2 linked regions of the Callithrix jacchus genome follow. The protein of the gene in region 1 purifies or fractionates together with the protein of each later gene. This does not show direct contact. Links are inferred from orthologs where the notes say so. Each region holds a gene or a part of one and is shown in the gene's direction. Other genes may lie near its edges.

Region 1 (2,983 bases):
TAGCTGGATATGGAGACATTTACCTCAATGCTGGTCCCATGTTGTTTAGTGGAGACAAGGACCATAGATTTGAATATAGCCATGGTCCTATTGCAGTCCTGGCAAACAGCAGTGACCCTTCCACGGGGCCAGAGAGTACTCACCCTTTGCCAGCAAAGATGCATAACTATAACTATGGTGGTAACTTACAGGAAAACCCAAGTGGTCCCAGCCTCATGCATGGACAGACCTGGACTTCTCCTGCCCAAGGACCTGGATATTCACAAGGATACAGGGGACATATTAGCACATCAACTGGCAGAGGTAGAGGCAGAGGGTTACCATACTGAGTATCTGTTTTTCCTCAGGCACATCATTTTTATCTGGAAAGACTTTTCTAGCTGCAATTTAAGGCAGCAATCCAAGAGACTTGAATAATATTAATTCAACAACAGCTTTATTTTTATGTGGAGAAGGGTCTTGCATACAATAGTTTAAAAAAGACAGAAAAAAAAAACCTTTGCTTAAATTCATGCTGTTCTGAAAACTAGATCTATCAATTGTACATCTTCACAAATTCTAGTTAACAGTTTTATTTTGTATTCTTGCAGTTTTAAGTGGATGCTAATTTTAGGGACATAGCCTTTTATGGCCCTCTTGCAGATCTTCTGATCTATGCACATTTGTGCTTTTTTTGTAAGTTTGGACCAACTTTTATGTAACAAACAGCCCCTCCCCACCTCCAGTTTTACAACAATCAGAAAGGGCACTGATTTATTTGGTATTTTTCTTTTTACAAAGCTACCTTTAGTCAAAGGTCACTGTCAGTCTTTGCACCTGCTTTCAGTGTTATTGTGAAAGGTGTACTTTGTGCTCATTTCAGAAAATAAAACACAACCTTTCTCTTGATGCAACAGTTTTATAAAAAAAATGGTAAATGTTATTTTTGTTTTGTTTTGCAGATTATCATAGCCTAGCAAAGTGCATTCAAATGAAATAGTGAGTTTTATATGAAAACTATGGGTGGGGTGGGGAGGGAAAGTAAGTGCCTTAACAGGTAAGGTCTGAAAAAAAGAGTTAACTTTTTATCCCCATTTGTCTTTTCAAAGGAATCAATGCATTGAAAAGGCAGGAAGCTCTCAAGTTTTCAGGGGCTGCCTGTTCAGTTCCTGTTAGGTCCATTCCCTCTGCCTGTCACACTCTCCTTTTCTGCCTGTCTTTGGGCTGTGTTCCCTTTCACTACCACCTTCTCTTGATAGGGGAGTGAGAGCAAAGAAAGGGAGAAGAACTGCAATCAGTACTTTTTGTTACTTCTGAGAAGTTCTAAAAAGTTTTGTCATTTAAATGGTTGAAAGTAATAGCTGAACGAGAATTTTAGAGTGCCATTTTCTTTCAGGCTGGCATATAGTCCCTGTTTCCATTTGCCATGGATAATTGGAGGCCATAGTATAGAAGCAAGAGTTCATAACAGAACTTACATAAATGTGTTAAAGTTCATGGGGGAGGGGTGGCAAATACCATATTTTAAGTTACGTAATTGCCATTTTAAGAAAGTCAGTTCTATTCACTTGTTAACTAGAAACGTTGCCTACATGGAATTTATTGAAGCAAAAAGAAAAGGCAATGAAAACTTTGATATTCCTTCCTGTCACCTTCCATAAAGTTGATCATGACTTCTGCCACTCAGAGCAACAACTTTAGTTCATTTTAACTTTTTCTTTTTTTATAAAGAGCATCAAAGAATGGAGTAAACTTATTTAAACTAATGGTGTGAAGTCTCACTGCGTGCACACTCATTCTCACACATACACACACAATTATAATAATTCTAGAAAGGAACCAAAGGTAAATAACCAGTGTTTCCATTATTACTAAATGGAAAAATTGACTGGAAGTTAGAGTTGTGCCAATTAATCATTTTGTTCATTAACTGTTCTGGCAACTTATTTTTTTTATTGGAATCTTAAATTGGGACAACTGTTACAGAATATGTATTGCTCCAGTTCTAAAGCCAGTTAACCCTGTGCCCTCTAACTTATGAACCTTCATTTCAAAACAATGTGGGAAGCATTGTAGTTTGATGACAGTAAGACTATTTTAAAGAGATAATTTACCATTTTACTACTATAAAATAAGTTGCTATCAGTTGACCATTTTATTTTTTGATGGACTCTTTTTTGTCACTGGGGAGAAAGAAATGAATGGAAGAAAAAAATATTTTGCTTTTATTTGAATATTGATTACTAACAACTTATAAACTACATTGCAGGAAGTGAAGAAATATTTTGAAATTAGCAAAATAGCAACAGTATTCAAGTATCTGAAATTTTAATATGGTGAGTCTTAGAGCTTTAGGCTTTCCTATAAGTGACAGTATCTAAGTTATTCTTAATAGTCACACTTGATAATTCTGCTTACCATAAGCAGCTAACCTACAATTGAAGATATTTATGTGACATGAATAGCCTGTGTTTCAAAAATTAAATATTTTATATAAAATTGAACTGTGTTTGGATAGTTTTTCTAATCAAACATTTCAGTGACATGTTGGGAGAGCGGCTGGGAGGACAGGGAAATTGTTGCTTTGAAATTGAAAATTTGAACTAGAACTTCTAATATTATCCTAAGACATCATTGCATGTGAGACATACCAGTCTTTTATGTATCCCTTAGAAGAAAAAATGTTGCCAATTAAGCCACAATACAGTACTAAGATGTCATCAGTTGTAAGCTACATCCCAGATTCAGACATGTTATATGAAAATATTTGTCTTATAACTGATGAAATATGATAGTCAAAACTCTTAATGCTTCCTTCCATAGTATTTAATACTTTAATTCAGTGAATTTGGATTGATAGGACAAGGTTGGGAAATCACTAGTACTATAGGTTGTAATAACAGCAGCCATTACTGAAAATTTGACTGAAATCTAAGGAACACATAATATTGTTTAAGTTTTTTTGAAAAAAGCAGGTAAGTCAGATTGCAAGTTAAGAAGATAA
Region 2 (4,297 bases), on another chromosome or scaffold:
CGTCACTGTCAGCTCCTTTCCCCGAGTGGAGACAGGGGAAAGGCAGAGTTGCATCGCCGGGCTGGAGCCACGAGGAGGAAGAGTTTAACTGCGGAATGACAAACTCTAAGCACGGAATGCCTCTCCCTAGTAGGGCACTGCGCGTGTGGAACACGGCCAGCGTCGCGTGGGAAGAAAGACGACCTATTTCCTACGACCGTCTTTCTAACTGGACGGAGCGGAAGGGAGGCGGGGGCTGGTCCTCGGGCACCCCGGTGGGCATCGAGGACTCGCAGAAAGGAACATAAAACCGCACAGCCTTCCCCGGGCAGCGGGGTGACGGAAGGAAGGAAATGAGAGCGCGACCCGGCCGCACGCAGAGCCGAGCAGACCAGCGCCAGGGGCCCGGGCCCCACCCGAGAGAGGGCGCGAGGGCCGGAGACAGTGGGGCAAGCGCAGGGAGAGCGCTCCCTGCACCTGCCACCACCTCCGGACCTGGTGGCGCGGAGCCCGGGAGCGTGGGCGCCAGAAGGGACCGGCAGCAGCGAGCGCGCGCCTCCCGCCCCGCAGGGCGCCAGGGCAGAGGCCGACCGGCGCCCTCCGACCCCGCAGGGCCCTGCCTACCCCAGCTCCGGGGCTCACACCCGCCCCTTCAAGCCCCGGGCCCGGAGCGGCCGGCAGGGACCCGGGCGGGGGCGCGCGCCGGACTTCGGCAGAGGGGCGCCAGCCAGGGCGGGGGGCGGCCTCGTAACGCTCGGAGAGGCAGCGCGAGTTTCTCTCGCAGCCTCCGGGCCACATGCGCGCAGAGACCGCCGCCAGCACTCACCTGCCCGCTTCCCCTAGCGCAGCGGGAACGACGCACTCCAGCCCGGACACCACCGTCCGCCTCAACCAACCCCCAGGCGGTGGCAGTGGCTGCGGTGGCGGCGGCGACGGCGGCGGCCGGACAGGAGGGGCGGGACGGCAGCCTGAGACGGCCCTGCCGCCGCGGCCCAACCCCGCTCCGCCCGCCCTAGACCCCGCCCCCAGGCCGCCGCCGCAGCCGCTCATTGGTCCGCGCCTCGGACGCATGGGCGCGGCCCCGCCCCGCCGCCAAGCCGGCGTTCCGTTCGGGGTCCTCTCCAGCCAGTGGGCTGACGGCTCCCGGGGGCGAGAGCGGACGGCTCAGCCGCCGCCAACCCCGAGGTCGCAATTGGCTGTGTTCGCCCCCGCCCCAGCTCTGATTGGACGAAGCGCGACCCGGACCCCGCCTACGCTCCCGAGTTCCGTTAGCAGGTTCGGTTGCTCCAGAATCTTTTTCGCCCCGGGGGGCGGAACCGACGGGATGGGCCCTGTGGCTGGCTCCTCCCCCTGCACGCAGCCGCCACTGACCCGCGGGGCGGGCGAGAAAGAATAAGGCGGCCCGTTCCGCTTTCGAGAGCTCTGTTTTCTTCCCATTGGTTGACAGGCATCCTACTCTCTCCGCCTCTCCGGTCGCTTGGTTTTTGTCTCAAGACGCAGCGTGATGACGTATTCCCCGACATTCCACATGCAAAATGGCCGCGGTCGGCAAGGAGAGACGTCGCTAAGGGGCTTGCCTGAAAAGAGGGGTGAGTGACCCACCGACTGCGGGCAGCACCGCCCACCTCCCGCGTATCCAGAGGTCGGAGTAGGTTATGGCCAACCGCCGCCATCCACTGGCGGAGTCTCTCTTTTCGGATTCCGCCTCTCTCCGCTAACCTCTCGTACACATTGAACTTAGCGGGCGGCGCGGGGCTGCGGGACCGGCTTGGAGAGAGGGTCCGAGGCGCCGGGGTGGGGCAGGGAAGCAGGGCGCACCCTAGAACTGGTAGCGGCCCTCGCAGTAGGGGTCAGTCAGAGTTGGACTTTCTAGGGCTTGGGCAAAAGGGACAGGGGTGTCACCCGCGCACAATCTCATAGCTACTGAGTACTCATATTTCCCCGGTTATTTCGCGGCGTATTAGTCCCAACCTTGGGTAGGCCTGAGACTTTTTGGAGATTGTTCCATATCTAGGGTACTCGGACTTTGGAGTCTGAAGAGCCACGTAACGAGGGTGCGACTAGGAATGAGGAAAAGGCACTTCCGCGATTAGATTTCGTTCTTGTGGAGACATCGTCTTTACGGACCCGGTTCTGGTGGTTAATTTGTTTTTTTATGAGAGAAATTGTTATTTAGAAAATTGGACCGTAAGTCTAGAGGTTATCTGACAGCTCCCAAACTATTGTCTGCCAAAGATAGTCTCGGTAATGCTCCCTAAATTTAGATTGCCAGTTAAACGGAGCTTTCGCTAAGTCATCTTAGGTTAGGAACGACTTTTTCTTTTTTTTTTTTTGAGACAGAGTCTGTCTGTTGCCCAGGCTGGAGTGCAGTGGCGCGATCTTGGCTCACTAAAACATCTGCCTCTTGGGTTCAAGCGATTCTCCAGCCTCAGCCTCCCGAGTAGCTGGGATTTCAGGCGTGCGCCACCACGCGGCCAGGCTACTTTTTCTATTTTTAGTAGAGACGGGATGTCACCATATTGGCCAAGCTGGTCTCGAACTCCTGGCCTCAATTGATCCTCCTGCCTCGGCTTCCCAAAGTGCTGGGATCACAGGCGTGAGTCACGGCGCTCGGCCAGGAACGACTGGATAAGAGCATTTCTTAAGGGTAGTCTTTTATATTTTTAAAGGAAAATTGGTGACGTTTGTGTATCTCTATCTAAATCTCTCTTTTCAGATGGCTAGCACAGTGCCTTGCAATTTTAGGTGCCCATTAAAGGCTTGTATGAATGATGTTGCTAGAATGAAAGCGAGGAGCTTTCAGCGCCCAGAACACTGCCTGACGTTTATTAAGCCCTCAGTATTGCTCAGTGAAAGAACCGATGGATGAGAGTAGTGATAGTAGTACTGACAGACATTTGGATTAAAGTTGTGTCGTTAGGATGCTTACCTGTTAAATAATCTTGACGGTGAATGTAGTAATTATCCAAGATCGTTTTATTCAGAGTGACTACCACTGGTGTCTTTGAGGGTTTTTTCCCCCTTTTATCTCATTTCGATTATATTGTGATGCATGCATTATTCATGCTTATTAGTTGATTTCTGGGCAAATTCTGTTTAAATTTGTTCCATTTTGAAACTGTAGTTTGTACTAACAAGGAACAAAAACTATTCGAGTTGTTAATGAGGTTCTTAAATTTTAAATGCTGTTTTTAAAATTGCATGTCATAAAGAAAAATTGGTCATGTCTGTGGCCTATTAAATGAGCTAGTTCATTTCAGGAGATTATATTTTAAAGCAATGACTGCTGAGTGCCTAAAAGGGAGGACAGTGTCTTCTGCTTATTTTGTTTAAAACTGGGTAAGAACAAAAAATATCTAAGGGAATTAAATTCAAGGTAATTGAGATTACAGAGTGATCATATTTTTAAGCTCAAATTGTTTACCAGAGTAATTGCAGATGACATTGTAAAATCATTATTGATAGACTTTGAAAAATCCTAAAAATGCAGTTAATGTTAAAAGACTAGTGTCTGATAAATGTCTCAGTTTTCACCAAGAGCCATTAGATGTCTCTTGGATGCTAGGAACCTATTAATAATCTGTTCTAGAATCTTGTTGGAAGAGCCAACACGTGTATAAGAACTTGGGAAAGGAAAGCTGATTCCCTCAAGCCAGCAGAAAGTTTCAATAAGAAAAGGACAGGTGAGGCCAGAGTTAGTGGCTCATGCTTATTATACCAGCACTCTGGGAGGCCAGAGCTGGAGGATCACTCAAGCTCAGGAGTTCAAGATGATGCCGGGCAACATAGTGAGCCCTCATCACTACCAAAAAAAACAAAAAATTAGCCAGATGTGGTGATGCATGCCTGTAGTAGCTACTCAGGAGACCGAGGCAGGAATCACTTGAGTCTGTGAGAGATCAAAGCTGCACTGAGCTGTGATCGTGTCACTGCCCTCCAGCCTGGGTGACAGAGCAAGACCCTGTCTCAAAAAAAAAAAAAAAAAAAAAGCCAGGTGACACAATTCTGTTTCCTTTTGTTACGGTTTACTAGACTGGTGGTGATTGGGGATTGCTGGACATAAGTTCATTTAAGTTTATTTAGGACACTGAACATAATTCTGTGTCTAGACAGAGCTAAATGTGCATTGGATTAGATGTAAATGGATTTATTATATCCATTCAAATTACCAGACCCAAAATGTTGATTAATGGGTTGATGTAAGTCCGGGGAGATGTCTTTGGAGATATACTACAGGATTCTGGTCTTGCCCTGACCCTGGTTAGCACTTTTCTACTACCAACTTTAAATATGTAAGAAGCATGCTTCTCAAGTTAAT

What was found. Proteins that work in one complex are often made in the same cells at the same time.
Region 2: the proteins of CDK13 (region 1) and CCNK purify together in Homo sapiens (affinity purification with mass spectrometry; 4 studies listed by BioGRID and IntAct, counting the BioPlex papers as one, with this or other methods). This does not show direct contact. The link is inferred for Callithrix jacchus from reciprocal best matches to the Homo sapiens genes CDK13 and CCNK.

What each region holds. Positions count from the first base shown.
Region 1 is NC_133512.1:8,406,940-8,409,922, forward strand, and holds the end of CDK13 (cyclin-dependent kinase 13), read left to right. Parts: coding exon 1-329; 3' UTR 330-2,483; downstream 2,484-2,983. UniProt on the Homo sapiens protein: Cyclin-dependent kinase which displays CTD kinase activity and is required for RNA splicing.
Region 2 is NC_133509.1:134,366,497-134,370,793, forward strand, and holds the start of CCNK (cyclin-K), read left to right. Parts: upstream 1-1,497; 5' UTR 1,498-1,568; intron 1,569-4,297. Other genes in the region: SETD3 (actin-histidine N-methyltransferase), read right to left, coding at 1,351-1,430. UniProt on the Homo sapiens protein: Regulatory subunit of cyclin-dependent kinases that mediates activation of target kinases.